Linked DNA regions of Diceros bicornis minor. The protein of the gene in region 1 binds, or shares a complex with, the protein of each later gene. Links are inferred from orthologs where the notes say so. Each region holds a gene or a part of one and is shown in the gene's direction. Other genes may lie near its edges. The genes, in order: POLA1, PRIM2, PRIM1 and POLA2.

Evidence for each region.
Region 2: the proteins of POLA1 (region 1) and PRIM2 are in contact, whole or in part, in a cryo-EM structure (PDB 8G9F), measured with the Xenopus laevis proteins. The link is inferred for Diceros bicornis minor from reciprocal best matches to the Homo sapiens genes POLA1 and PRIM2. Residues at the interface, in NP_001082055.1 of Xenopus laevis: Leu842, Lys853, Ile894, Pro895, Glu896, Leu971, His974, Arg977, Glu978, Leu981, His982, Glu985, Gln988, Lys989, Asn991, Glu993, Asn1007, Asn1009, Arg1101, Asp1102, Glu1106, Gln1109, Glu1221, Asp1224, Gly1225, Asp1227, Ala1229, Leu1230, Met1233, Trp1234; in XP_018121015.1 of Xenopus laevis: Pro34, Pro35, Thr36, Glu37, Asn38, Ile39, Ser40, Leu41, Ile42, Phe44, Glu45, Ile49, Ile107, Phe110, Ile111, Leu114, Cys117, Gln118, Ser119, Glu120, Asp121, Arg123, Ala240, Arg241, Leu243, Val245, Val246, Gln247, Arg251, Leu252.
Region 3: the proteins of POLA1 (region 1) and PRIM1 are in contact, whole or in part, in a cryo-EM structure (PDB 7OPL), measured with the Homo sapiens proteins. The link is inferred for Diceros bicornis minor from reciprocal best matches to the Homo sapiens genes POLA1 and PRIM1. Residues at the interface, in NP_058633.2 of Homo sapiens: Tyr439, Ala440, Pro447, Glu448, Lys449, Ser450, Phe876, Thr877, Thr878, Gln880, Leu906; in NP_000937.1 of Homo sapiens: Asn92, Thr93, Val94, Lys95, Leu96, Gly97, Ala98.
Region 4: the proteins of POLA1 (region 1) and POLA2 are in contact, whole or in part, in a cryo-EM structure (PDB 8G99), measured with the Xenopus laevis proteins. The link is inferred for Diceros bicornis minor from reciprocal best matches to the Homo sapiens genes POLA1 and POLA2. Residues at the interface, in NP_001082055.1 of Xenopus laevis: Gln548, Lys551, His553, Gln554, Asn555, Phe642, Glu645, Val646, Gln649, Asn652, Leu673, Gly675, Arg676, Phe679, Lys1137, Asp1141, Pro1143, Asp1144, Ile1321, Gln1322, His1324, Asn1325, Lys1326, Leu1328, Leu1329, Arg1332, Ile1335, Lys1336, Tyr1338, Tyr1339; in XP_018112289.1 of Xenopus laevis: Met280, Tyr281, Lys282, Phe283, Met284, Phe285, Gln286, Lys287, Leu288, Met289, Ile291, Arg292, Val295, Ser296, Ile299, Glu314, Thr316, Leu320, Pro321, Gln323, Glu324, Thr325, Val326, Gln331, Gly333, Cys334, Asp335, Ser336, Asn337, Gly338.

What each region holds. Positions count from the first base shown.
Region 1 is NC_080781.1:20,729,304-20,736,669, forward strand, and holds the start of POLA1 (DNA polymerase alpha catalytic subunit), read left to right. Parts: upstream 1-4,199; 5' UTR 4,200-4,248; coding exon 4,249-4,273; intron 4,274-7,366. UniProt on the Homo sapiens protein: Catalytic subunit of the DNA polymerase alpha complex (also known as the alpha DNA polymerase-primase complex) which plays an essential role in the initiation of DNA synthesis.
Region 2 is NC_080753.1:10,098,275-10,105,713, reverse strand, and holds the start of PRIM2 (DNA primase large subunit), read left to right. Parts: upstream 1-4,364; 5' UTR 4,365-4,419; intron 4,420-5,176; 5' UTR 5,177-5,184; coding exon 5,185-5,338; intron 5,339-6,685; coding exon 6,686-6,789; intron 6,790-7,439. UniProt on the Homo sapiens protein: Regulatory subunit of the DNA primase complex and component of the DNA polymerase alpha complex (also known as the alpha DNA polymerase-primase complex) which play an essential role in the initiation of DNA synthesis.
Region 3 is NC_080756.1:12,129,657-12,137,772, forward strand, and holds the start of PRIM1 (DNA primase small subunit), read left to right. Parts: upstream 1-4,863; 5' UTR 4,864-4,909; coding exon 4,910-5,012; intron 5,013-5,667; coding exon 5,668-5,825; intron 5,826-8,116. UniProt on the Homo sapiens protein: Catalytic subunit of the DNA primase complex and component of the DNA polymerase alpha complex (also known as the alpha DNA polymerase-primase complex - primosome/replisome) which play an essential role in the initiation of DNA synthesis.
Region 4 is NC_080770.1:7,904,130-7,911,645, reverse strand, and holds the start of POLA2 (DNA polymerase alpha subunit B), read left to right. Parts: upstream 1-4,511; 5' UTR 4,512-4,590; intron 4,591-4,607; exon of another isoform or gene 4,608-5,057; 5' UTR 5,058-5,162; coding exon 5,163-5,241; intron 5,242-7,516. UniProt on the Homo sapiens protein: Accessory subunit of the DNA polymerase alpha complex (also known as the alpha DNA polymerase-primase complex) which plays an essential role in the initiation of DNA synthesis.

The sequences.
Region 1 (7,366 bases):
CTCCCACAAGCATAGGTGCACCTCACGGGCACAGGGGCAGCGGATGCCATCCCAGAGAGGTATGCTTTGCCTAGGAGAAATGGGACACATCATGGGTCCAGGAGAGGGGCCCTGCCCGACTGCCACTACACCTCTTTATAGGCAAATAAGTCAAGAGAGGGGCTTTGCAACTCAGGTGCATGAGGAAATGATTTGAGCTTGGGCACCACCAGCTGCCCAGGGGAGTTGCACATCTACTCCTATCTCCTGGAATCCTTGTGGGACGTTGAGAGCATATGCAGCCTCTCTCATTGCTTGCCCATTTTCAGCTAGCAGAAAATCCTCTCTCCACAGCTGCATATAAACAACATTACCCAGTTGGGCTCAGAATCTTTGCATTTCCACAAGCTGATTTTGTCAATATACCCAAAGATAACCAGTTTCTCATGCTAAGAAACGCACACTGATATTGGAACCAGAGTCCTAATTTATTGATTGCAATGAGAAATATACCTGGCAGGAATGCCAGAATAGAATCCAGTTGGCTGGTTGTCAATCCTTTTAGAAAAAGAAGGTCCTGTTTATAAAAACAAAAAAAGTTGTTTGGGGAGTAGACAAATAGCTTGGGCTGGTATGGTGGCTCCATGGATGTTAGGGACCAAGGCTTTTATCGTTCTGTTCCACCATCTCAGTGTGTGGCTTTCATCTTCACAGTCATCTCATAGTCCAAGATGGCTGCTGGAGCTTCAGCCATCACATCTGTGTTACAGGAAGAAAGAGAGAAAAGGCAAAAGGGCAAAAAAGAGTCTCCTTTCAGATGTATCAGATTTCATTAAGCAGCCTTCCTCCAAGTCTCCCACAACACTACTGCTTACATCTTGTGGGCCAGAAATTAGTCATCTAGCTAAACCTTGTTGCAAAGAAGGCTGAGAAATATAGTCTTTTCCTCCATCTGTAACTGTGCACAGCTAAAAATCCACATTCCATTACTAAGAAGAAAGGGGACAATGGATGTAGTGGTAAGCAAATAGCAATTTCTTGACATATCTACCTTGTATGGTTATTAGGAAGATCAGTAAAATAGGTAAAGCACTGACATCGTCCAAGAAATTGATCATAACCAAATGTATTGACTGCCAAAAGTTTCTGCCAGTTGATATACTTGATTTTGTTTACGTTTGACTATCATATCCCTTCAGTTACATTGATACCAACACCCTCATGTAGTAACTAAAAATACAATAATAATAATAGCTATTCGTTGAATGCCTTTTAGGTGTTGGCATCTTAACGGCACTTAGTGGCATATATGTATTATTTCAATTAAATTTCACAATCGCTCCTTAGGTAAGTATAAGCACCTCAGTTTTATAGAGGAAGAAACTGAGGTTTCAGTAACCAGCCAAAGGTCATATAAAAGTAGTAGTCTAAGAATCAAACCCTAAATTTGTCTCTACCTGATGTTGTAATGCCTCCCAACATAATTAAGGAGAACAAATTGTAAGCAAAAAGAATCTATAATGCTATCATCTGGAGAATATATACTCAATTTTACATATTGCTTGTATGTATATAGTGATTTGATACATAGTTGCAATTAAGTGTTCATATCACTTTGCCCTCTGCTGTTTTCACTTTATGAAATATCATAAACACTTTCCATGTTTTGAGTTTTCCCAATTATTTTATCTTTTTGAAGTCATTCATTAAACCTCTTCTCTGACATAGACATTTAGGTCCCAACTTTTTGCTAATGGAAAATGGCAGCCATTAATGTCTTTGCACTTTTTTCGTTTCTATTGAGTTATTTCCTATTAACTTTTGCCTGTGGAAATAACAGCTTGAAAGATAAAAGCATGCTTATGGTACTTGTTACATATTACAATATTATTTTCCAAAAGGTTGTACCAATTTACACTGCCACTGGCAAAAATGAGTGGTTCCTCAACACTACAAGCTTACCAGTAATGGATAGAGTTTATATAGAGAGATATAAATAAAAAGATAGAAAATGGTGGAAAATAGTATCTCAAGTTAGCCTCAATTTATTTTTCTTTGTTTGTAGTAATAATAAGTGAAAAAAACAAATCTTCAGTTTGCAAGACCAGTGCAAAACTGGTCCTGCGTTGGATAGGAGAGAGCAAGTTTAAGACAAATTGTGATTTTTTTGCATGATTAGATAACAGAGGTAGAGTTACAGTGAAGTTAATGAAACTTAAGCTTCAGAGCCTCCCGTTTGCAAATGGGCCACTTCCAAGGCCCTGGGAGATGCTCTAGCAATGGTCTTATGTTTTTGTGAAAATTTGCAAAGGTAAGATATTTTAACTGCAATCTGTTATGACTACTTTCTACTTGGTGGTTTGTTGGCAAACTGTCTCTTTCAAAAAAAAAAAAAAAGGCCTGATTTCTGATTTGCTGCATTTGCTAATTTCCATGGTGTAAATACTTCCTCCATGGCTGATTTCAAGCTACCAATAGTTTAACAAGCATATTATAAAATTCCTAAATATGTAACAATCCGCTCTTGAGAACCACCATTTGTCCCTCTGATACACTTCCCTTCCTACCTGGTGGTGGTGGTGGAGTGGGCACAGTGATCTTGGGATTCTACTATGGGAAAGTTGAGTTGGTATTGCAGTGAGTTTTGACGTAGTGGCATCTATTTATGTGGGTTGAAGGCATGTTCGTATACACCTAAGTTATTGATAGACCTCTTGGTGTAGAAATAGCTTCCAGGAATATTCCTACCCTACTGTGCTGACTTGGAGTTGTGACCTGAATGTGCAAGGCCAGAAGTCGTATCATGATATGAAAGTGTCCTACAGGTCCTGGCCCCTGAAGTATATGGGTAGTGAAAGAGAAACAAGATTTGAAATGCTTAGAGGTCTAAGCTGGCATATAGAAAATGATCAGATGTGTGAAATTGTAAGGGAAGGATTTGGTTCTTATTGATGCCTAGCCAAAATGCTTCTCTCATATTAGGAATAAACTTGATAATACAACTATAGAAGTTCCAACAATTTTTTTAAAGGGAAGTGTAGACATAAATATCTACTAGTACTTTAAACAGTGAGTGTAACTAAGTGTGAATTACTATGTTATGTATCACAACATATGCATTGTATTTTACCATATTAAATAATGAGTTATGAAGCTGAAAGAAAATTTTCTAAACAATCAGAAATTAAGAAACAAACATTGATCAACCATGCTAGAGGCTGATCAATAAATTATTGATCAACTGATAATTGATAATTATCTTTATATCCTGAGATATAAAGGATATATCTCTGAATTATTTCTTTAGAGAAAATGATATTACAAAATTGTCACATGAGGAAGGCATAAACAAGTATGTGGGCAAAAAACATAGGAAAATATATTACAACCGTGTGACAGGTATTACTTCATAAAAATGTTACACCTATTTGGAAAAAGATAAAATGAGATGCATACATTGCATGCATTATACCATACACAAGAATCTAATGCCCTTTTTGTCTTTCATAACATTGACATTTTGGAGGAATCCAGGCCAGATGTTTTATAGATTGTCCTACGCTTTGAATACATCTGATTGTTTCTTCATGGTTAGATTCAGTTCAGGTTAAACATTTTTTGCAAGAAGACTATATAGGTGATGTTCTTGCTTTTCCCAAGTGCATCACATGAGGAGGCATATGATTGCCCCTTATTGGTGTTGCTACTTTTGGTCATTTGGTTAAGATGGGGCATATACCTTTAAGTGTTGGCATATATAGAAATAAATCACACAGCTACTGTATTCACACTCTGAGAAGCAAAGTATCAGGCAAGACCTAGAGTGCGCAGCAGGAGGCAGTCGCTTTCCCAGGCTCGCGGGAAACCGGTCTAACCACGCCCACCCTACTGCCCGCCCGCGTCTCTTTTCCCATAAAATCACCTCTCAGAACCAGAGAGCCCCTACTCCAAGGCGCCCAAATCTTTTCCCATCGGCATGGGCGCGCCTGCGCAGCGAGTCTCCAGGCGGCTCCTCTCCAGCGCCCGACCGCTTCTTTTTCTTGCTCTCTTCGGCCTCCCCTTCTTTTCCCTAAGGGGTCATCACAGGGCGCCAAACGCGCGCCCGCGGGAAGGCTGGGGGCGGGGCGAGGCGCTGCGCGGCATGTCAGTGGCCTTCCGGGCGGAAGTCCGCAGCCGCCGGAGGCGCTGATTGGCTTTCGAGCTGGCGCCTGTCTCGGCCCCCGCGCCAGTTTCGGGCTGGTTGGCGCGGAATCGAGAGTCTCCGGGACCATGGCGCCCGTACACGGCGAGGACTGTGAGCTGGGGGCGAGCGGGGAGGGACACCCCGCGCGTGGGGTCCCGGGCTGGGAGTGCGGGGACCGTGGAATGACTGCGGGTGGTGGGGTCTCTGTTTTATTTTGTGTTAAGGAGGCGTGCGCCCGGGTCGCCCCGCGGGGCTATTGGGCGCGGACCTCGGTTGTCCTGGGCTGGGACCCATCTGCGTTGGACGAGGCTTCCTTGCAGGGGTCTTTGCTCCTGGCAAACCCGAGCAACCCCCCTGCGGGGCTTTTTGTTTGGGAGGCTGACTCACCTCTATCACTGCAGGTCTCCGCACTAGCCTGCTTTTCTTTTTATTTCTTTTGGTGAGTCCCATGTGCTGGGCACAGCTTTATCGAGACTGGCCCCGGTGGGACACAGTCTTGGCCGAAAGTATGTCACTACTCCCGCCCCAAGTGTCCGCTTAAGGGCTAGGACAGAACGGATGTGCGCCCTCTCCTTTATAGAAACTCCCAGGAAAATTCTTATACATTGTAACTAAGCAGGAAAGAGAGCCCTAAGTGCTGTCACTAGAAGATCAAAATGCATTTTGTCTTTTTAGGTAATGTGTTTCTGCTTTATGCGTTAACAATTTTTCTTTCAAAATCTATGGAAAGTTCATCAAGTGCTGCATTAAAAAAAAGTGTTCACAATCTAGTCATCTCTGGTGAAGCTTCTAGAGAAAAATGCCTCAGTTCAGCAGCATTTCGAATGCCTTGTATATCACTCTGTTTTCAGTGGTAATCTTTTATTTCCAAAAATAGAATGCAAAAATGCAAATGGCTTTGTCTGATTTCTGATTTTTGAACAGTGTTCAACTAAAGTGTGACTTAACTTCAGTGAACTTCTAACTTAAAATCAGATGCTTCACTTTCTTAGCTCAAGCGGCATATCTCCTGTCACTCAAATATATCACCATTAATGAGAACTTCCTTCCTAATCAGCTTCCTTTGCATGCACCTAGTTGTGAAGCACAGATTTCAATTTGTTCTGCTAGCCTTTCATTTTTTAAGACAATTTATTTTGGAGAGTCGACTAGGCTGGATTACAAATGGGATATAGGATGTGAGTACGTGAACAGTCTTTGCAGCCCTCCATCAGTGATTTGCCACTAAGCCCTTTCTTCACCCTAAAAACTGTACATCATCTGTGAACATCAAGAAATCACTCTTTGGAGCATACTCTGCAATCTTGAGACCTCTCTTAAGTCATGGTGTTGATTAAGTAGTCGCTGGGGACTTGTGACTGGAATTTTTCCTTTAGAGCAGACTGAAAGATTGTTACCTGAAAGACTGTTGCAGGCTAGTGTCTTCTGCTTTTGGGAACGATGGGAGTATGCCAGATGGTAATTTTGAAACAAATATTTAAGCTTTTGTAACTGGATTTTTTTCACGCTTATTCTTTTTTGCTAACTTACCCACATGAAGCATTGGAGACATATTCCAAAAAGGAAAATCGAGGCCTTTTTTTTCCCCTTAAGTATTAGACGGTGGGGTACCTTGACAATGGCAGTGAAAAGTTGAAAGGTCTGTAACTAGCTGTTATTATATATGAAAAGGGATTAGAGAGTTTAATGATCTAAAAAAGGCAGGTACAGTGATTCATTTATTTGTTCATTCAGCAAATATTTATTATGTATCTACTTGGCATAGGCATTCTGCCAGGCTCTGGTGTTACAGTGGTAGGTAAGCAGGACATAGTTTTTGTCTTCATGGAGTTGAGTGGTAAACATCTAATTATATGCAGTGCTATATTGAGGCTTCCCTGAGAAAACTGCTTTGCTTTATTTTTTGCTTTCTAGAGGCTAGACCATGGTACTGCTAGGTGTGCTGTGTGTGGGGTGTGTGTGTATGTGTATGTGACTTTTCTGCATCTATACACATACACAAACATTAAAGGAGCTTCTCCTGTATTGCCGAGTACAAAGTAAGCCAAGCATCTTCATTTAATCCTTAACGACTTTATGAAGCATACATGATTATCCCCATTTCACAGATGAGGACCCTGAGGCTCTGCATTGGTCAGAGTCCTTAGGTGTCAGCTGCAGGAACCAACTCTATCTGATTTAAACAAAAGGAATTTGTTAGAATGATATTGTATTGTTCACAGAAATTCCAGGAGGACTCGAGAGCCAGTCTGGGGGCTGCTCAGCCAGGAACAGTGATTAAAATCGTGTCACAAAACTGGTCCGGTGAGGAGGTTGTTGCCATCCACTGCCAAGTACTTGATATTATAGCTTGTTCCTTGGGACATTGTTGGCGCTGTTGCCCCAGGCACTCAATCCTCCTGCAGTTGTTGCTGCTTCTAGAATCTTCCTTCAGCCCACCCCCTTTCCTTATGACACTAGCTTCTGATTGAAATTCTGAGCAGGTGTTCCTGATTGGTAGAGCGTATTTTTTTATATGCCCATGCCGTAGCTGCAAGGGTGTCTGGGAAAGAGCATCTGCCTTTCAGCTTCTGTAGTGGGGCGTGTGTTTTGTGTCCCATCAAGACTTATAAGGGGAGAATTTCACAAACAGGTTCAGATGCTGGGCCGCTTAAAAAAACAGCAAGACAGCTGGCCACTGCAGCTCAGAGAGGTTAACCAGTGGTGTCATGTCACCCAGTTAAGTGGCAGAGTGGGGTAGTGCTGCTTCTCCCTAATCTCTTGTTCTCCTGCTCACTCTATGCTCTCATGTCGAACTTACCTCCCACACTGACTTTCTCTCTGAATACACCTTGCATTTTCGTCTCAGTAATTTGGCTCATGCCTTTTCCTCTTCTTGTGCCACTTTTTACTCTGTAAAAAGTGATGAAATGTGAAATTCTATTCTTCTTTCTGGCTCTGTGTTGGAAACCTCCCTTGTGAAGCCTTCCCTGATTTCCCAGGCAAAATTAATGGTTCTTTTTTCAATTTTTCCTCAGTACTGTGTTTTTACCTCTTATATGGCACCATCTTTATGTGATGGTGGGAGCCTCAGGTCCTTTTGCTTTACTTGACTGTGAGCCCCTTGAGAACAGCTAACTCTGTGGTATTTGTAATTGTATCCCAAACCCTGTAGAGTGGTACATTGTTGCCTGTGGAGTAAGTCTGTTTGAAGACCTGTAGATT
Region 2 (7,439 bases), on another chromosome or scaffold:
TTACTGTTTTTTTATGTCTATGCACAAAAATTTCTCTAGAGAATATACTTTGAGTAGAATTACTGTACTGAGACAAAGGGTCAAATGTACAAGATGATGCCAAATTGTTTTTGAAAGCAGTTGCATCAATTATTACTTCTACCTACAATAGATGAGTTCCTTGTCAACACTACATATTTTCAGACTTTAACGTTTTTGTTCACTTCGTGGGTGTACAGTATTACCTCACTGTGGTTTTAATTCGCATTTCCCCAATTACTAATATAGTTGAACTATTTTTGTACATTTATTGGTCATTTATGTTTCCTCTGTTGTGAAATACTTGTTCAGGTTTTTTTTTTTTTGCCCTCTTTTCTATTGTGTTTTTATCTTTTTCCTATTGATTATATTCTGATACTAATCCTGTGTTAATCACGTCTGACAAGTTTCTTTTCCCAATTTGTGGCTCGTTAAAAATATATGTCTTTATGTGACTTTTAAGCTTAAGTTCTTAATTTTAATGTTGTTGAAATGATCAGTCTTTCCCTTCTAGGCTTGTGCTTTTTAAGAAAAATTGTGGCAAAATATACATAACAGAAAACATACCATTTTAACCATTTTTAAGTATACAATTCAGCAGCATTAAGTATATCCACGTTGTCATGAAACAATCACCATGATCCATCTCCAGAACTGCTAGTGCTTTCCCTTAATGTCTTATTTAAGAAATTCTTTGCTATATAAAGACCATCTATATATTTGTTCTAAATTCTTAAAGTTTCCCCTTTCACATGTAAATCATCTGGAATTGATTTTTGTGTATAGTGAGAGGTAGGAAATACATTTCCCCCGATATTGATAGCCAATTGTCCCAGTACCATTCAGAATTGTCCATCTTTTCTCCGCTGATTTGTACAGTGGATCCGTCATATACCAGGTTTCTTCATAGGTGTGGGTCCATTTCTGGGTTCTCTATTCGTTCCATTGATTGCTTTGTCTATTCCTGTATCAATATCACATTTTCTTAAATACTATGGAATTGTGATAAGCCTTCCATCTGCCTGAAATTCTATTCTCCTAAAGATACACACAACTAAATCCCTAATTTTCTTCTGGTCTCTGCTTCATGGTCACACTCTTAGCCAGCCTTTCCTGGCAACCTTTTCTAAAATTTCAATGCCTCCTCCAAGAAAATTTATATCCTCCCTCTCTGCTCTATTTTTTCTGCTTAGCAGTTATTATTTAACATAGTAATATGGATACTTCTCTTGTTTATTGTCTCTCTTTCCCACTAGGATATAAGGTTTATGAGGGCAGGGAATTTTGGCTGTTTCATTACTGTTGTATCCCCAGCGCAGAAAACAATGCCTGGCACTTAGTAGGTGTTCAATTAGTATTTCTGGAACAAATCACGTAATGTGGACATATGGAAGGGTAACCCTCCCTCCCTCTACTTCCCTTTAAGAATATGTTTTTTTCTCTAGTTCCCTTGTTCCTTGATGCTAGACTAATAAAAGCAATCTGAAGCAAAGGGGGAAAGAACGAGGTGCTCCTTGAGGTTTCTTCCCTAGCCATGCCCCAGAGGTGGGCAGTGAAGTGGAAAGGGCAGAGGGACCAGCGGTTGGCTAACTGTGCGTTGGCTTTTATGTGTCAGCTATCCCGCAGGAAATGCCTCCTATCTTTCTGCTTTCCATGGCGAGCAGAGCTGGCAGGACCTAGAGTTTATAGTGTCCTCGCTGGATAGAGAAACATACCACGCCTTTGGTTTTTAGGTGACACAGCCTGCACAGGGGAAGAATGAACACTCACTTTGATTTACCAAGCATGGCAACTAAAATCTCAGCTGGAAGTGTGACACACTACAGGACAGAACTTCTGGAGCTGTGGAGTCTTCGAGGGGTGAGTACCCTGTGGGACAGTCTGTTTGTAGCTGGTAATGCCCAGGGCAGGTGCTGAACTGAGCAGTGATGAGTCATGGAAACTCCGTCAGGGAAGGTACTCTGTGCTTTATTACAAGCTAAACTGGGGAGCCAAGTCATTCTGGAAGGAATGTGTATGAAGTTTTCAGATGAGGACTTGAAGTATTATAGGTTGGAGTCATATTTGATTCAAACCATCTGTTGAACGTCAAGCTGAATCCATCACTTTTTTCATACATCTCTCACATTTTACATCAATTCAATAAAATAAATATTTGTTGAGGGGCCTCGGAGTGCCAGACACTGAGGTTACAAAGATGAATGACACAGTGGTCCCTGTTTTTCAGATGCTTATGGTCTAGTAGAAGTAAAAGTTATATGTTTATATGTATTTTCCTCCCCCTGATTGTGAGGTCGGGGTCTGTAATTTATATGCATCTTGGTCGCCAGGGCTGAGCATTGTGTCAGTCCATTTTTGTTGATGGAATAAATACATGAAAGAGCTTGCAGTGATTTACCAAATATGGCTACTGAAATGTATAACATTATCGTGCATTAGTAATGCTGTGATATGTAGATCTATATTGCAATTGCTTCCGGATACAGAAAATACTCTTCACCGTGAGGCAGTGGCCCAAACTGTACCACAATCAATTCCTATGTGAGCCCATCACACTGTACTTTGCCCAACATTGAGTATTTTCATTGTAAAATCGTTACCAATTTTGTAGGGGAAAATTTCTTTGCTGCCAATGATAAACATTTTTTTCCCATACTTTATATCGTTAGTTATTTTGTCTATGAGTTATCTGTTGCTGTTCTTTTCCCATTTTTCAATTTGTGTTTTAGGATTTTGTTCTAATTAATTTATATAAGTTCTTTACATCCTGACAGTATTAGCCTTTTTGATACGATATTTATGGTGAAACTTTCCCCCAGTTTGATGACTGCAGAAAACTTTGTAATTTTTTTCGATACACAATTTTATATTTTTGTAGTCAAATCTTTAGATTTTTTCTTTGTTATTTATTATCTCTAAATTCCTTCCCTATCCAGAGATCAGATAAAAATTCATGTAAATGTTTTTATGGTCTGGGATCCAGGTTTTTTCAGGTGATGCTAATTACGTGTCTGATAGAGGAGGGAATTCAGGTGAGGCACTGCTGTCATATTATGGAATTAGTACAGTGTGGTGGTTAGCACTGTGGCGCTTGGAGACAGTCTCCCTGACTTCAAACCTGGCTCTGTCACTTCCTATGTGATCTTTGAAGTCACTTAGCTTCTCTATTCTACGGTTTCCTTATCTGTAAAATGGGTAAAATAATAGAACCTACCTCATATGCTTACGAGAATAAAATGAATTGACATGGAAATCACTTAGAACACTTCCTGGTGCAAAGTTAGTGCCAGCGACAGTTTGGTCCATGCTGGGTAGGTGCTTTGAAGCTTGATATTGTTTCAACATACTCTGCATTTCTAAAAACGAACATTTCAAAGCGCTCTTCACCTCCAATGACTACTTTTACCAGAGCCTTCCTCGAACACTTTTGTAAGTGAGACACGCCTCCTCGAGGCCACAGTGAAGTTTACTCCAGCTCTTGAAAACCCTACAGACTCGTTGGACACCTGGTGAGGCTCTGACCCGCCGCTTCCGAGTCTGCAGTCCGAGCTCCACTCTCTCCCCAGCGCTCTCCACTTCTTCGACCCCTGCTTCTTCTTCCCTCTGAGCCTGATCTCTTCTAATTTCTGTAGACCCCGGAGCGATTTCTGCATGTGCGCATTCATTCATTCTAGTTCATTCCAGATAGTTTGCTGGGCGCTTCCTATGCGCGAGGGTTGTGGCGGGGAGAGGGGAGTGGACTGAACGTAGTCTGTCCTCATGGGGTTTGCTGTCCGATAGAAAAAACAAAATATGTATTGTACATAGATGGGCATTAGCTTCTGTTTTCTCATCTGTAAAATCGGAGTAATATGACCTATCTTATAGGGTCGCTGAAAGATTAAACAAGAAAAAACATAGCCCCTAATACTGAGCCGGGTGCAAAAAACGACCTCAGTAAATGCCTATTCTTCCTCTATTCCTCCCCCAGATCGAAAGTGATGAGTGCCAGCCCTGCGGGTGAAAGCGCCCCATTTTCAGTTTAGGGAATCTTGGCCAGCGGCCCCAAACCAAATTATGTTGCTTCACTCTTGGCGTGTGGAATTTTTGCCGCTAGCATTCTAGCACCCCAGTTTCAACGGTAAAAGCTACCGACTCCAAATACAGGACGCGCAGCTTCAAATTAGGAATCAAAGACACCCATATTTAAAAAACTTGAAGCTGGCAAAAGAGACGGCACACTCTCGGCTCCCAGAAGAGCCTACTGAGCATGCGCAGGGCCCGCGCGGGGCGGGGGGCGGGACAGCCAGGGGGCGGGACTTGCGGGCCAGCCACTTCCGCTTCCGTTCCATAAGAAATCTCCCGCCACTCGGGCGAGCGGCTGTCAGCGGTTGCGTGTTTTCGCGTTTGGTGTGTTTGCGGGTAAGAGAAACTCCCGCGGATTTAGGGCGGACAGTAATCCTGGTGTTGAGGCTTGCAAGTCGAGAGACCAGGGAGAGCACGTTGCGGGCGGTGGGAGCAGGGTTGCCCTGGCGGGGGTGAGGGTCTGGGGTGTGGGTTGGTTGTTTAGGGCAGAGGTGCAGGTGCCGCCGAGGGGAGGAGAGAGAGCTTCGCCGGAGGAGAGTGGGGGAGGATCGGGGTGGGAGTTTGAGAACTTGTGGATGCTCCCTAAAAGGAGTTCCGAAAGACTGGGTTCGAAAGACAGTTGTTCAGTTTCCCAGGGTTATCGGATAGGAAGTGAGTAACTGGACCCGGCCCATTAAGTCTCTTATCTCGCCCGAACCTGCCGCGCTTCCCTCCGAGTTCAGGATTGCAGCTCGTGTCAAACCTCATCCGAACTCTCGAGACCGCAGACATCTAAGGACGGTGGGACACAGACCTATAGTGAGCAGGCGACATCACCTGACTTGCATGTGCTGAAAGTTAGGACCACCACTTACGTCTTCCCTAGCACCCGCCCCCCGCCCCCCATGACCAAATTGTTACAGGTGTATTGTAGAGAATCTGGAAAATAACAGAGAGACAACAAACACCCAGGGATAACCACTGTTAACATTTTGTGCATGCCCTTCAACTTCAGTTTTTTTTCCCTGTGCATGTGGAGTTATTTTTTTGTTTGTTGTTTTTTTTTCAACTCCGCCTTCCATCATTTTAACCATTTTATATGCTTCCTTACAAGGTAACAAGATGCAGTTTTCTGGAGGAAAGCGGAGGAAGCTGAGGTTGGCAGGTGACCAGAGGAACGCTTCCTACCCTCACAGCCTTCAGTTTTACCTGCAGCCACCTTCTGAAAACATATCTTTGATAGAGTTTGAAAACTTGGCTATCGATAGAGTTAAATGTGAGTGATATGTGAATTAGAATTTATATATTCTTGAGAACCTCACTTGTACTTTGTGGGAATGAGTGTGGGTACTTTATTTCCTTCGTTCAGCAATTCATTCAACAAATATTTATTGAAGGTTTGCTGTTCATTCATTTATTGACTGTACGGTGCATATTTATTGAGTGCTACTATATTCTAGTGGCAGGGATTTTGAGATGAATAATGTAATTCTCACCTTTGTTGAAACTGCATTCCAGTACACGGAGACAGACATCCAAAATTATAATCAGAATTTGGTATTTTAAGTGCTCTAGTAGAGGTAAATAGTAGTGCTATTGAGACATTGAAGTGGGAGTGACTGACTTAGTCTGATTAAGTAAGGCTTGTTAGAGAAGTTGAATGTGATCTGGACCTTGAAGGATGAGTAGAAATTTCTCAACAGAGAAGAAGTGCTAGGTTTTTCCAAGCTGTGCAAAGGCTTGGAGGCATGAGAAAGAATGTCATTTGTGGGAACAGTAACAAGTTCAGAGTAGATGGAGAAGTATGGATAATTAAGGGCATTTTGTACCAAGCTGATGGCACAATATTGGGGTGTAAGAAGGATGTGGCTACTGTAGTCGGGCCTCCTAATCCTCTGTGTGTTGGTGGAAAAAAGGAATGAGCTTGGCATGAACCGAAACAGAAATAATAGCACCTGTGGGACATGGGTTTATTTTATTATTCCTTTTAGAAGTTTTTCATTCTTGAATTTAAAAATGCCTCTTTTCATATTGATAGAGGAAGACTTTATCTGAGGAAGTATTGACAAGGGGCTTTAGGAACCAGTGAACAGTATGTAGCATCTATTCAGAACAGTTCACTTAGATGATTGGAGGGCCTTGCTTCTTCACTCTTGTGTCTTTGCCTTCTCTGCTTCATCAGGAAAGGAAGGGCTTCTGATGATTCTGTGCTCAGTAAATGAAGTAGACTGCCTAACAGACAGCTCCACATGAGGGATGCAAACAAGGGATGGTTAATCTTTTTTCCATACTGACACACTTTTCCATTCCTCAACAGTGGTGGTTCCTTTCAGCAGTGATTGTCCCCCACCACTCCCTCCCTCTGGCTGAGAATCCCTGGTATTAGATTATGCTGTGGGACGTGGGTGTTTTCTGCACATGGATGGAGATTAGCCTCTTATAAACATATGTAATTTATATAATGTACTTGCAGCAAATGAAACTGTTACAACTTGTCATCTTTTATAAACAAGTAATTATGGAATTGCTATCCATAGATTTTATTTGTCTTGGATTTAGTTTTTAAAAATTATCTTGCATTTATACATTTTTTCCTTTCTTCTGTTTTTAAAATATTTTCTAGTACTAAAATCAGTTGAAAATCTTGGTGTGAGCTATGTGAAAGGGACCGAGCCATACCAGAGTAAGTTGGAGTCTGAGATTCGAAAACTCAAGTTTTCCTACAGAGTAAGTAAAAGAGGAAAAAAAAAAATTCTTTCAGTAGGTATATATTCACGTACTGAGTATCAGTGGTGAGAGAGGGTTTGTATTAGGTACAGGGCTTTAAAAAAGACTAATGTAGCATAGACTCTGCCTGAAGCTTCCTGCACTCTACTAGGGGTGATTGATATGTAGTCAGATGATTGTAATATGGCAGGTTTTCTCAACCTTGGGACTGTCGACATTGGGGGCCTGATAGTTCCTTGGTGCAGGTCCTGTGCATTGTAGGATGCTCCGTAGCATCTCTGGCTTCTACCTGGTAGATGTCTCCAGACACTGCCACATGTACCCTGTGCAATACAGGATGATGACTGCTTTTCTGAGATGTGTGCTCCAGGAACTCCAAGAGCACATATAATTACCCAGCCCAGACTGGGGAGGTTTGGGAAGGCTTCCCAGAAGAGGTAGTGCTGGAACTGCATCTTGATGGATGTGATCAGATTTTTATTTTGGGAAAATGACTGCCAACAGCAGATTGACAGGGTCATGCTTGGTAGGAGGAAAACCAGTTAGGACCCTGGAAATGAGGATAGTGAATTAAATGGAGAGAAGAGGACTGATTGAAGAGATATTAAGATGGTAGAATCAAAAGATTTTAGTGACTGATTGCAGGGAGA
Region 3 (8,116 bases), on another chromosome or scaffold:
CTTAAGTCAGTGATGGCCACCCAAACCCCTCCATCTCCACTTGACGGCCTTAGTTCAGGCTACCAGTATTTGTCACCTGGATTTCAGCAAGTTTCCTGGGATTGCTCTGCCTCTGGTTGCTCTCTCCCCTCCTATTTGTCCTCCACAGGGCTCCAAAGTTTATTTCTAAAACACAACTTTATGTTTCTCCCTGCTTAAAAGCTTTCCAAGGCTCTCCATTGTCTTCAGACAAATCCAAATTCCTGTGGAGGAACAAGGTTTGATGTTGTGATTTGACTTGATCTGCCATCTTTTATTTCAAGCAGTCTACAAGGAGAAAGCTAGATCCAAAGAGTATGTAGTTTTATGACCAACAAGAGAACGTATACAATATGTATATTGGTAGGTTACTTATCAAAAATCTGGTGGGTTAACTTACAGCTTAAGTGAAAAAATTCAATTTCACATATTAAATCCATTATATAAATTAAAGAACAAACACAATGTCCTATAACACGTTTTATCTGCTTTGTGGTTATCATTTGCTTTGTAGTTAAAAAAAAATTCCTGTGAGATTAAATTAAAACTTTGGCATTAAACAAATATGAGGGTGCTCTTTATTACTTTACAGTAGTTTATGATAACAGGAGACAGAATTACACAATTTAAATTAAACTTAAATATGACCTTGGCCCCACCTAGGTAGTCTCCCTTTATTTATTGCTCTTGTGTCAACAAAAAATATATATTTTCTAATATTCTCTTTCTTATCTTATTGAGGAGGAAAATAACTAGCACAGGAGTACTTCAAATTTGCAACTTACTTGTTTCAATAAGATTATTTACTCCCAAGGCTTCTCATCAAATACTGATATGATCAGTATTTTAACCAAAGCCGAATAAAAATGGAAGATAAATAATTTTTATGTGCATACTCTTTAGCTTGGCATGCAATGCTCTGGCCATGGCTTGCCTCTTAGCCCCATCTCTCACTATGCCTTCCCTTTGTTACCACCCATGGGGGAATTGTCTGCCTGCTGCAAGACATGCCAATAGTCAAGAGGCAAGGAGGCAGGAGAGAAAGGACTTTTTATTACCGCTTGCTAGCAAAGGGGAAGATGGCCAACTAATCTCCAAAAGAACCATCTTAAGGGGGCACAAAATCTTACAGCAGTTATATAGGCCAGTGGGTTATAGGGGAGGGGCTTAGGAATGTTGACCCTCTGGTGTTACAGACTGGGAGTCGCCACACCAGATCTTTCAGTTTTCATTGATGATGGCTATCAGCACAGACTCTGCCCAGAGGGTCATCACATTCCTAAGGAACAAAAAAGAACAAAGTTATCAACTTATAGCACCAGTAGGGGCCGTAAAATCTACAGAGCATGTCTGGGTTAGCTAATCAGAGGTCATTCAAAGTTACAATAGGGTTTCTTTTCTACAACGGCTTCCCTCATGTCAACCGTCTGTTGAGCCGGTATCACCTTGAAGTCTGACCTCTGTCCATAGGGAACTATTGGCAGTTTCCTGCAAGTGCCGTGCCGTTCACACTTTGTGCTTGTCTCCCTGTACCAATCTTATCATTAATTTTTATGCCTGTCATTAATTTTTTCTCCCCAGAGCCTAGCTAAATGCCCAACACAAATGTTCACTAGCTATTTGTGGAATAAATGAATGAGTTAAAGAATTACCAAATGAACCACATCTTCACCAAATATATCATCCTTTTACATGCTAAAAACACCCAGAATAACAGTAGGAAGGGAAGGGAAGTCCACGAGGTAGGTGTCCAAGCCTGCAAAGATCTTGGGGAGAGAGACCTAAGCTGACTGATAAGATTATCCAAAGAGAATGACAGTAGACATAAATACTAAATGTAAAGAGGCTGGTAGATAGTGTAAGGCTTGAAGGACACAGGGGTTTTGCACCTCTGTGGATGAAATCACGAGGGAAAACCAACTGAAAGGCAATACTGCCTCCCAATGGCACCTGGGATAAAAGCCGCTAACTAGAGCACTTTTACAGAATTATAGCTTCCCCAGAATGAGTGTTCCTGGGCTATGAACTGTGCCAGGCACCTCTTACTCTATCTCATTTAACCCTCACAACAACCCACTGTACAGACATAGCATGTAGCATAGGGGTTAAATGCACAGACTCGAGCCAGGCTGTCTGGCTCTCCCATGTACTAGCTGTGTGACCTTGGACCAATTACTTAAATTCCCTGCATATTTCCTCACCTGTAAAATAGGGATAATATTAGTACCTACCACAAAGAGCTCTTGATGAGGAATAAATTCTTAAAATGGTACTTGACAGCATAGCTAATGCTATATAAATATTAGCTATTATTATTCCCTTTTTCCTGATAAGAAACTAACGTTAAATAAATCGAGCATACATTAGGAACTCAATAAATACAATTTCCTTTGCTTTCTTTCCTTATGTCTTAGCTCTGTAAGGTGTTGCCCTCCTTAGTGGTCCTGAAATTTAAATAGGGGACTCCTGAATAGCCCAAAAAAGTCAGTTCTTAAAGACAGCAATGAGGAAGCTGAGAAACCTCCATTAAAAAGTTCAGGGGGATGTGGTTCCAGAAAACAGCACTCTACAGGGAACTCTTGTTACCATTATTAGAGTGAAGACCTTCCTAGCAATGAAATTCACCCTGCCCAAAACCGGATGCATAGGGATTGGGAAAATCAACTAAGATTTGTGCAGGAAGCCAGATCTAGGAATATTCAAATAAATATGATCTGTCCAAAGCCCATTTTTGACCACTTTGCCCATAGGCTGAGGGACCATGATCATTTTCAAGATTAGGCTAATAATAACTTACTAGAGACTCTATTCCCTCCTTGCTCTCTTACTATTATTGTAAAAATAAAACTCATGAAAATGATCATTTTCAAGTGGCACATATGATACTGATGTGATTATCAGAGTGCCCACCCCAGTCCCCATTTGCAATGAGATGATCGGCAGACCTGCATATCAATAGGAAACACACTCCTTTCATACTTGCAAAGCTCGCCATGATTCTACAAGCTTCCTCCAATTCAGATTTTAGTATTCCTGGGTGTTCTATTTGAGAGACTGAATATACAAACAATGGCCAGACCATATATGAAAACAGAACTCTGACCCACAATCTGCAGAAGCCCACCCGGGAAACTGTGACTGAACACAAACAGGTTTGTTCACCTGCTGCACAAGAGGGCCAACAACTGGAACACCAGGCTTGCGTCAAGGAAAGAAGTTTACTATGGAAAGGCAGCCAGACAAGGAGATGGGAGTTAGAACTCAGATCCACCTCCTTGAAGGGAAAAAGGTAGAGGTTTTTATCACAGTTTTAGGGGGAGGAGGAGCATGTGCTGGGGTTTTGGGGCGGGGGGGGGGGAGGGGGGAGCATGCGGCCCTGCTGATTGGCACCTTCCCACCAGCCTGCATTTGGCCTTGAAGACTGAATTTCTTTTCCCTTGACTGACCGGACTTTTCTGGTTAGTTTTCATCTTCAGCCTGTGTTTGGTCTTGTGAGGCTGAATCTTGATGTCTGGACCTTAAATTTCTGGAAAAGACAGCTGACTCATATACTAAGGAGGGACAGAAAGACCCGGTTAAACAACAGTTGATTATGCTGAGTATGCACAGCTGCAGTTAGCAAAGCTTATCTCAAAGGTTTTGCTCTAAGATTTTAACTTCTTCGTTCTCAGTTTCAAAACCAACCCCCTTAGCTATAATAAACAGCCCAGGAAGCCAGCCTGCTGTAAGTCAGACTTGTAGGAAGTCAGACTGCTGTCTCTAGTGATAGTCCATGAAGCCAAACAATAACCCCTGTAACAATAGGCCCAAAATGGCCAGAACTGGATTAACAACTGACAGCTTCCCTAATTTTTGTCCCCACTTGCAACTTAGAACCAACTAGAGAAAGCCAAATATGCTTTCTAACCAACCACATAGGATGCCCGGCTCCTAGTTAGCCCCCCTGCAGCTTCCCCACGTAAACAGCCTTGAATCAGGGCACACCTGAAACCTTCTCTTGTTTCCGCTATAAAGCTTTCCCACTCCTCTGCTTGCCCTTGAGTCTCTGCCAAAACGCAGGTGACAGTGGCTGACTCCCTTGCTATACAGCAAGCCCTGAACAAATAGCCTTTGCTTTTCTCATTTGTTTGGTCTTCGTTTATTTCCACATATGAGACCTAATAATTTTATGAAAAACTAATTTCCAAACCCTCTTGAAAAGATACTGGTTTACATATTTTAAATGTGTTATTTCTAAAACATCCATAGGGGCCAGCCCAGTAGCGCAGCGGTTAAGTTCACGCACTGGGCTTCCTCGGCCTTGGGTTCACAGGTTCGGATCCCGGGTGTGGACCTACTCACTGCTCATCAAGCCATGCTCGCTCCGGCAGCGTCCCATGTAGAAGAGCTACAACTCTACAACTATGATACACAACTACATACTGGGGCCTTGGGGGGAAAAAATTAAAAAAAAAAAAAAAGGGAAGATTGGCAACAGATGTTAGCACAGGGCCAAGCTTCCTCAAAAAAATAAAATAAAAAATAAAACATTCATAAAGTAAAAATAAAACATTCATAAAGTTAGCAGAAAACGTCTTTTTTACTTCACCTTAATAACCTAAGTCAATACGCTCAAGGACTCACCTTTCCGCAGAATATCTTCTTCTTGCAGTGGCTGAAGCCTCCTTCTGCCCACCTGAGCAGTGGACCTAGCACTATCTGAGCAGGTGGGCGGAGACCCGCGGCACCGCCTCCAGCGCCCGGGCCAACCTCCAAGTGGGAACTACAATTCCCAGCTGCCTCTGCAGACGCGGGTCGCGGCCACGACGCGCCTGCGCAGTGGCGGAGGCTCAGGCTATACGGTTCCCGCCAATTCTTGCTGTAATCTTGCCTGGGTTGAGTTCCGCGCTCCATGGAGACGTTTGACCCCGCCGAGCTGCCCGAGCTGCTTAAGCTTTATTACCGGAGGCTCTTTCCCTACGCCCAGTACTATCGCTGGCTCAACTATGGCGGAGGTGATGGAGGCGGGGAGCGGGGTGGGTAGAGGGTCGGGAGGAGAGGGGGAGGAGGTTCCGGACCGGTACCTGGGAATGACAATATGAAGTGCCTGCTGTGCGCCAGGCAGTGTGCCGGGTACCTTCGGGAGTTATCTCGAGCCCTCCCTACCACCTCTGAGGTGTGAATAGGCCGAGAGAGGCTGTGATGACCAGCTTACGGCCACACAGTGAAAAGCACAGCCGCTGCTCCTCCCACTACGTGGTCGGACTCACGTTCGGCGCCCCATTTACCTGCCGCGGGCCTGAGCCGGGGGGTCAGTGGGGCGTGAGCGTGATGATCTGCATCAGGGACTGGGGCATCTCCCGGGAGAGGAGAGGTACTTAACTCTTCGCAGTTGAATTTATTAGTGCCCACCGAGGAGAGAGAGGTGGCATTACATATTTAAAATATTTCTGCATCTTTTTCCTCATTTTTACTTCTCCCTATCAGATGCGGGATGGTAAGCCCCTTCAAATTAGGGACTAGGTCTTGTCTTTTTTTTTTTTTTTGCATGTTTAGCGCAGTGCTGGGCACAGGGAGCTCATTAAAAATATCTTCTCATTGGTTAATGTTATAATGCTCTGAGCTGAATAAAGTACCAAATTAACTTTAAAATATACATTTATTTTGCAGTGGTAAAGAATTACTTTCAACACCGTGAATTTTCATTCACATTGAAAGATGATATTTACATTCGCTACCAGTCCTTCAACAACCAGAGTGATCTGGAAAAGGAGATGCAGAAAATGAATCCATACAAGATTGATATAGGCGCAGTATATTCCCACAGAGTAAGAAATCGGTTTTTTATATATCTTGTTTTGTTTTTTAAACCAAGAATGGATTGGTGCCCCCAGCGTTTTGAGATAAAATTTTTAGAGTTTATTCTAGTTGAAGAGCTACGCTTTATTTAACTGTTTTTGCAAGTGGATTGTAATATTTTTTGTTCTGTGATAATCTACATTACTGACTGGAAATCATTTGGAAGTGAATTGGTTGTATTCTCACTAGGACAAAAAAATTGAGTATCTGGCAAAAGACTAAATGAGGAAGTCAGCATGGTTTAAGGGAGGGAATTAAAAGAGAATTACATTCTCTCCCAGCATTGGAGTTACACTTGATTCCTCTCTTTCTCTCACACTCCTGTATCTGTTCCATTAGAAAATCTCTTTCGCTCTACCATAATAATATCTAGAATCCTACCAGTGCTACTACTATCATCTCTCATCTGAATTACTCTAAAAACTTCCTAACAATTTGCTCCTGTAAACTTGAGAGTCTATTCTCAACACAGCAGCCAGAGTGATCCTTTTAAAACAGGTCAGATTCTGTAATTTCCTCTGCTCAAGACCATTCTCCGAAGTGGCTCCCCTTTTCACTCAGAGTAAAAGCCCCTCTCTCTCCCTCACTCATTCCACCTCTGCCACACTGGCCCTTGCTCAAGCAGTTTCCATTGCCTAGAATCCATTTCCCCAGATATCTTCTTGGTTCATTCCCTCACCTCCTTCAAGTCCTTACTCACTGAGGCCCGCTGCAACCTGCCACCCCTCCTACCCGCTGCCACTGATATATTCTGAGTGCCTAGAATAGTGCCTGGGAGAGTACACTGTAAATATTTGTTGAATGAAGGAACATACCAAAGTTGTCCTTCTTCCTTTCCTTAAAAATACACATGTCGGGGGGAAATATACACATGGGATAATAGCTTTTGTATGGGGCTTTTTCATACGTTGTATATCTTGTTTTTCATATCAATCCTTACTATTCTTTTTACAAAGGAGAAAACAAGCCTGGAGAACTTAAATAATTTGCCCTAGGTCACACAATTTCTAAATGATACAGCTGGGACCTGAACCCAGGTTTTCTAACTCTAAATCCTAGAGGAAGAGGAGAAGCGATAAGAAAAGGCAGGCAGGAAAAATATTTTGAAGAAGTTTACTCTTCTTTACAGGTGGAGATTAAAACTGAAGTCTCTATAGAAGGGTCAGGGTGTCTGTCACTCTATTCCATCTCCCTAACACTGAAGGAGGAAAAGTATTTTTTTATTGGGCCGAGACAGGCATCTGTAGACCTTTTTTTTTTTTTTTTAAAAACAGATGTCTCCTACTACTCCTCCTATTTTCTGCTCCCCAGAGGCAACCACTTTCTTTTAGCTGAATAAAGTATTCACCTCCTTGTTTCTAAATAACATGTTTATATTTCTTCCGTTTTTCCATTTCAAGCATTATCTGTTGACTTTCCACTCTGGCAGATAAGGATTTAGCTTTCTTTCACCTCACTTGCTACCCTCACCACACATACAACCTTCTCGTTCCCACGTGCTCCTATATGTTTGTTAGATTAAAAATTAGGGTCAGGGGCCGGCCCAGTGGTGCAAGCGGTTAAGTGCACGCACTCTGCTGCAGCGACCCAGGATTTGCCAGTTCGGATCCCGGGCATGCACTGATGCACTGCTTGTTGAGCCATGCTGTGGCAGCTTCCCATATAAAGTGGAGGAAGATGGGCAGGGATGTTAGCCCAGGGCCAGTCTTCCTCAGCAAAAAAGAGGAGGATTGGTGACAGATGTTAGCTCAGGGCTGGTCCTCCTCACAAAAAAAAAAAAAAATTAGGGTTAGATCACTAATTCAACTCCAAACTCTTTGCAAATTGTTTAAAACTCCCAATGTATTCAGACCTATCAGGTAGTTTGTCAATTTCATCCTAAAGAAATTTCTCCTGCAGCCTTCTGACCTCTAACCTATATTGATTGCTCTCTAAGCCTGATGGATAAATATCATCTTGTAATCACTCTGGTTTCCTTTCACCTCTCTCCTATGTTGGATCCCCTGTTGTCCAGATCCTATCTTCTCTTTTTGGTTTACTCCCTTGTTTTGGTGGAGCACATCCTCCAGGAGCTTCCTGAGGAAAGGTGACTGGAAGACAATCCTTGACTTCTGTATCTGGAAAATGTCTTCATTCTACCTTTATGCTTAACTAATGGTTGAGTTTGTAAATCAATTTCCCTCAGAATTTTGAAGACATTGCTACATTATCTTCTAGTTTCCAATGTTGCTGTTAAGAAGATTAATGCCATTCTGATTCT
Region 4 (7,516 bases), on another chromosome or scaffold:
GTTAAGATGGTAGGGGTTTTTGGAGGGGTGTTTGTTTGTTTGGCTACAATTAAAACATGGACTTGGGGTGGAGACCTGGGCTGGACTGGATCTGCCTGGGCCATTTAGCGGAGAACTCTCCCCAGACACACTACGTCACTCTCGGAGCTTCCATACTCGCACGTGGGAAATAGAGGTAACACCACCAATAACTCAGGGATTGTGCCATCATGACATGACATGGCAAAGGTCAGAAAGCTGTCCCAGAGCAGGCGCTGGTCTGGAAGCCTCCCCGGGGAGTGGCCACCTGGACCCAGAGCTGCCCCTCCCTCCCCCATAGGTAGCCTGGGGTTTTGGGAAAACAGGATGTCACCACACGTGACATTGCTTGTATTTTATTCCCCCACCAAACCATTCCTTTGAGATGACAAGTCACTCAAAAAAATCATGACAAACCCTCCCCACCCCAGGCCCGCAAGATAATAAGGTTATTCACGGTTTAATAGGAATTATATTAATTATATAATATCTCATTAACGAAAAATAATGAACATCTATATTGGACTATATTGCATACAAAACAGCTACATGATCTTTTTTTAAAATAAAAGCTTTATTGAGATAATTCACCCTTTTGAAGTGTACAGTTCAGTGGTTTTTAGCATATTCACAACGTTGTATATTCACACTGTTGTGCAACTGTCACCACTGTCAAATTCTAGAACATTTTCATCACCCCAAAAAGAAACCCCATACCCATTAGCCGTCACTCCCCATTCTTCCCTCCCCTAGCCCCTGGCAACCACAAATCTATTCTCTGTCTCTATGGATTTGCCTATTCTGGACATTTCAAATAAATGGAATCATATATGTGGCCTTTTGTGTCTGCCTTCTTTCACTTAACATAGTGTTTTCAAGGTTCAGCCATGTTGTAGCATGTATCAGTAACTTTATTCCCTTTTATGCCTGAATAATATCCCATTGTATGGATACACTATATTTTATTTATCCGTTTATCAGTTGATGGACATTTGGGTTGTTTCCACTCTTTGGCTGTTATAAATAGCGCCTCTATGAACATTCTCATAGAAGTATTTTTGAATACATATGCTTTCAATTCTCTTGGGTACATACCTAGGAGTGGAATTGCTGGATTATACGGTAATTCTATGTTTAACTGTTTGAAGAACCACCAGACTGTTTTCCACAGTGGCTGCACCACTTTACATTCCCATCAGCATGTTTGAGGGTTCCAATATCTCCACATCCTCAACAACATTTGTTATTGTTCATCTTTTTTATTACAGCCATCCTAGTAGGTACGAAGTGATATGATTTGCATTTTCCTAATGACTAATGAGGTTAAGCATGTTTTCATGTGCTTATTGGCTATTTGTATATCTTTTTCGGGAAAATGTTTATTCAAGTCCTTTGCCCATTTCTAAACTGGGCTGTTTGTCTTTCTGTTGTTGAGTTGTAAGAGTTCTTTATATATTCTGGCTACTAGACCCTTATCAGATACATGATTTGCAAATACTTTCTCCTATTCTATGGATTATCTTTTCACTTTCTTGATAGTGTTCTTTGAATCACAGATGTTTTTAATACAGGATCTTTCAAATTAAAGTGAAGGTTTATTTTATCATTATAAAAGTGACACATTTTATTACACCCATGAGTTAAAAGAGGAAATCCTTCTTTAGTGATGTTGGGTACAATTCAGCAGCCATTCCTAATAAACTCTAAGGAAAAGAGAACAAGAAGAAAGCAACTAAACCTTGATTATGCATTCTTAACACAATCCAGTAGCAACCATGAAACAAAATGAGGCCACACTGAAGCCACTGCCGTCAGAAACAGGAAGAAGGCGAGGACACCCACTGTGATTAAGCACTGATTCCAAGGTTTGGATCAATGCGCTAAGACAGGAATATAAAATGACTAGTATCATCCCTTTGAAAACAAGGGGAAAAAGATATCTTTCTTTGTAAATAATATAATCTGGAAACTCTGAGACTCTCCTAAAACATTAAAATCAATAAGAGGATTTTGATAAAATCACTGGTTACAAGAAATATGTACAAAACCCAATAGCTTTTCTTTGAACTGGCAATGACTAAATAGAAAACAGTATGGGAAAAATATTCCATTCACAAGGGCAACAAAAAATATTGTGACAAAATTGAACAAAAACAGGATCTATATGGAAAAAACTATACTTGGATTTCATGTCATATCCACACATCATGAAACATTATTCTTCTTTTGGTTTTTTTCAACCGTTTAAAAATGTAAAAACTATTCTTAACTTGCAGGCCTTACAGAAACAGGTGGCTGGTGGAATATGGCCTAAGGGCCATAGTTTGCAACCCCTGGTCTATGTAGAAAGAGCTTCTGCAACTTGGTAAGAGAAAGGAAAGGAAAAAGATGTAAACACATGAGTTGTACAAGAAGAAATTCAAATGGTCACTAAGCATTTGTGACAGGAGGTGGAATGAGATCTTTCCTGTTATTAGAGTACAATATATGAGAAACAATCCCACACTCTAGAGAGGGTCTTGACATGCTCTTGAAGGCTTTCTAGTAGAGACCAGAACCAGTCCTTAATTATCACTCCTTGTTACCCATTTCCAGATAGTAATAGACAACTCATAATTCAGAAAAGAATTGAAAGAGGGAGGAAGGTTGGTGTCATGCCTACCCTATTTGACACTGAGAACACATGACTTGTTTAACCCTCCCTCCTCTATACGACTATTTTTAGTAATTATCATGTAATGAAACTATACCCAATATTGAAGGCGTTACATATTTCAAAATAGATTATGCCATTGCTTCAATAATAACTTCCTCTTTTGCTTTTTATTTTTCTTTATTGTGCTCTATTGCAGCAAGGTCTTTTCGTGTTGGGACAATGCCCTCTTCGCACTAATCTAGGCACTGCTGTAAAGGAATTTTGCAGATGTAATTACAGTCCCAAATCTGTTGACCTTAAGAAAGAGACATTATCTGGGTGGGCCTGGCCTAATAACATGAGCCCTTTAAAAGCAGTTTCTCTGGTTGGTGGAAGAAACCTCTAGAAAAGAATGCAGTTTGGCCAACACCTTGATTTCAGCCTTGCTGAGTGGAGAACCCAGGCATGTTGTGCCCAGGTTTCTGACCTACAGAACTGTGGGCTAACAAATGGGTGTTGTTTTAAGCCACTAAGTTTGTGATAAATTATTGCATAGCAATAGAAAACTAATACACCCTTTATTGCCTGTACCCAGGAGAACCACGCCCGCTCTCCACCCTGGGTACCCACCAGGAAGAAGCCTTAGGGGAGACTAAGGTTGTTTTGTCTCTCTACCCCGCCCCTGACTGCGGTTAATAAGCAAACTACACCCTGTTCCACCCTGCCGGATCGCAGCCAAGACAGGGTGCTCCCATTCTGCCTTGCATCTTGTCCCTCATTGCATGCCCTGAGGTTATCTCCTAGAAATGTCTGGCCTCTTTGGTGCAGTCTTTTTTTTTTTTTTTATGAGGAAGAGTCGCCCTGAGCTACCACCTGTAGCCAATTTCCCTCTTTTTTTGCTTGAGGAAGATTAGCCCTGAGCTAACATCTGTGCCAATCTCCCCCTATTTTTCATGTGGGTCGCCACCACAGCATGGCCGCATGTTGTGTAGGTCTGCACCTGGGATCAGAACCCAGGCACCTGGGCTGCTGAAGGGGAGCGAGTGGAACTTAACCACCACGCCATGGGGCCCAGTCTTGAGAATCACTGCTTTGGTAAATACCCATACTTTCCTTAATCAACCTCTACCTTTGGATGTTTAGTTTCCAATTTTTTTTATTGTATTTTTTTTTTATTGGAAATAAGACTACAAAGAACATTTTTGTTCATAAAACTTTGTCTGGATTTTAATGGCTAGTTTTCTTAGAACAAGAAATGCTGAGTCAAGGAAGATGAACATTTTTAAGCTCCTGATATATATTGCCAGTTTGTTTTCTAGAAAGACTACCAGTCTACCATTGCATTAGCAGAGTATGATGCTTAAGGTTATTTGATCTAACACGAGCCAATGGAAGATTCTGGCTCAAAGAATTAGGAAATATTTCAGGGGGAAGGCCCTCTTCTCATTTTACCTCTCAAGTCTCTCCCTCTTAGTGACCCTTCTTCACTCCTAAGGTTCTAGCCGCCCACTGGGATCCTCTACCTGGAAATCCCAAAGGCACACACCAGCCTAACACGTCCAAAACGAAGTCATTTGTCACCTTTCCACCCCTTTTCCACCCAAATGCCCCAGATCCAGAAAACACACCTAGCACTGTGGCTGGGACCAAGGTAATAACCTTGATAAACACGGCAACCAGATTCCCGTTAACCAAATCACCCTTTCAAGATGACTCGAGCGCACACGGAGCGCAGAGATGACGAGGGAGACAGAAAGGACGACACGCTCTTCCTCCCCCGCGTTGAGCACAGAATGGGACATTCGCGGGCATGTACACGACAGCGCCTGCGCACCAAGGTACAGGACAGAAGGGTGACGAACGTGCGTCACGGAGCTTCGCCAAGCAGGCGGTGCCCGGAAAAGAAGTCCCGCGGCTGCTGGGGAGACGCGGTTTCGGTACGGGGCACCAGGGACGCCGCGCGCCCGAGCCCCACGTCTGCGCCCTGCTAGAGACAACTGCGCAGCCGCCGTAAGGCGGACCGACCACCAGGCGCGGGCGCGCGCGCGTTGGCGTTTGTGCGCGTGCGCGCGCGGAGTCGGAAACCCGGAGAAGGAAGCAGAGGGGAATGGGTGGGGTTGAATCCGGCTCTCGCGCATGCGCGCGCCGCGCAAACCATTTGGCGGGTTTTTCTTGGCTGCTCCGTTCTGTTCCCGTCATTGGGATGCTCGGCGGTAGCTTTTAGGAGTCAGGACGTTCTCCCCAGGGGAGCGACTTCTCGAGATTTCTGCTCACGTCCTTTGGGCGTTTGGGGGCTTCCCTCACATTTAAAAAAAAAAAGTGTTTCTCTGTGACTGACGGCTGGGCCTTCTGACCGCCTGCGGTCTTGGGCCATTTGGTCACCTTCTGTCTTGGTCCCCCGAAGGGTGAAAGGATCAGAGGGACCTCGTCCTGCTCATCGATCTCCACGCCCGTGAGCTTCTTGGACTCAGGTCGGAGCTGGCTGGGCCCGGCCCCCAGCTGGGTCACCATGGCCGTGTCCGCAGAGCACCTGCTGGAGGAATTGCAGATCTTCGGCCTAGACTGCGAGGAGGCTCTGATCGAGAAATGTGAGTCCCTCGCCCCCGCCGCGGCCCCCAGCCCAGGTCCATGCTCTCGCCCCGTGTTCCCAGTCGCCTAGAACCCAAAGGGGAGTGCTTCCAAGTTTCACCTCCCCTAGGTCGGACTTCTCAGTGATTGTAAGACGAAGAATTAAGCTGAGTCTTGGCATTTGGGATGTGGGGACTTTGAATGCTCACGGGGTACTGCTTGGATTCCAACTCAAATATAAGACTATGAAGCACGATTTTAAATCAGCACAGTTCCAGAAAGGTGGAACTGGGACGTGCCAGGTTCAGACTAGGCCTGGTGGCATCTGCGGGTTTGGAAATTGTTTAAGCCTCAGAACAGAGCAAGCAAGATGTTGGGGTTTTGAAATGTAGCTTTTTATTCCTGGCTCCACCCCTTCCAGCCTACCCCTAAACTTCCGAGCCATCAATTCTCATCACAGCTGTTGGTGGTCTGTGCAAATATGAGTCCCTTGAGGTGGGTTCCTAAAATTGACTTTTAGCTTTGGAAGGAACTTTAGGGAGCTTGTCAGCTGTTTACAGATGGAGAAACAGACAAGGAGAGTTAATAGGCTGAGCTGGTCTCCGAACCCAGGTCTCCTGTCCCTGAGTCTAGTGCTCCATTATATTGATCCATTGTATTGGTCAGGCTCTGGGGTGGTGTAAGGAGTTGTTGGAATCAAAGTCCTGGGAGATATGGAAGTTCTCAGTTTTAGAATCAGGATGAATGTGCACCTGCCTTAACCATTCATCAACAGTTTGAGCTTCTTTTTTAATGTATAAAACCAGAATGCAAACAGTTCATTTCTCATGAGAGATCAAAATACTTCAAGTTCTTATGCCCAGTGCACTCTCTTCCTAAAAGGACACTTAAAGGAGAAACCCAATCATAATCAGAAATTTCTTTAGTGAGCCTGAAATCAAAACAAGAGAAATTAGTTGCGTGAACCAAATTTGTAAGTCCAAGATGCCTGTTGCTTCCATCTCACAAATGACTTACACTGGCACTGGAATTCTAGACTTTGAATTCATAATCACCGGCCTCAATGGGACTTTAATATTGCCTGACAGTTGTACCATATTTCTTTGGTCTATTCACTCTGAGTCTTCTAGATGACTCTCTTCTACCTTCTGCCCCTTTAACATCCTTCTGTCCTAGTCTCAGCTGATCGACTTACTTCCTGTTTCACCGAGAAAATAGAAGCCATTAGAAAACTTCCATAAGCTACTACCATTACTTCTTCCCACCTACCTGTGTCTGTGCCATATACCTCGCCTTTCTTCCTATGACAATGAATAAATTCTTTGCAAAAGCCAAACGTTCTACTTGAGTCCTAAATCCCATTCCTTCTCACCTTCGTAAGGATATCACTCCAGTAATTCTCACCTCTTATGTATTTACTGTTTTTCTCTCTATAAGATTTTTTCCATAACAGCATAGAAATGTGGTTCTTACTCCTGCCTTTAAAGTATTCCGTGGACCCCACTTCCCACTCCAGTTCTCTCCTTCTTAATTACAGCAGACCTCAAAAGGGTTGCCCATACTTGCTGTCTTCAAATTTTTCCTCCTTAAACCCATTTCAGTGGACTTTTTCCTCCTCACCACTTGATTGAAACTGCCCTTCTCAAGGTCGCCAATGACCTTCACCTGGCTAAAGCCAGTGGTGAATTTTCAGTCCTCATCTTGACTGATCAGCAGCATTTGACACCATTCATCATGTCCTCTTCCTTAAAACACGTTTTTCTCTTAGCTTCTTGGACACAGCTCCTTGTTTTCGTAGCTTCGTTGTCACCACTTCTCAGGCTTTACAGGTTCATCCTCATCCTGAGCCCCAAGATACACTCACTTCCTTGGTGATCTCACCTGGTCTCATGGCTTTACATCCCATGTGTTTGCTGATGATTCCCAAATTTATATCTTAGCCCAGACCTCTTTCCTGAACCACCGGCTGTCTGTCCATCTGGCTACTTGATGTCTCCAATTGGATGTCTAATGGGCATCACGAACTCTCTGTGTCTAAAACTAAGCTCCTCGTGTCTCCTCTCTCTCCTCAGAGTAGTTCCTCCTGCTGTCTTCCCCACTCAGTTAATAGCAACTCCACCCTTCCAGGTGCTCAGGCAAAAACTGGCAGCATCCTCCTTGACTCTTTTCTTTCCTCACACCTCACACCAATCAGCAAATCCCCCTGGCTTTACCTTCAGGATATATCCTATCCAGAATCCAATCACTTCTCACTGCCTCCACATTGAGCCAAGCCACCATCATCTCTCACCTGGA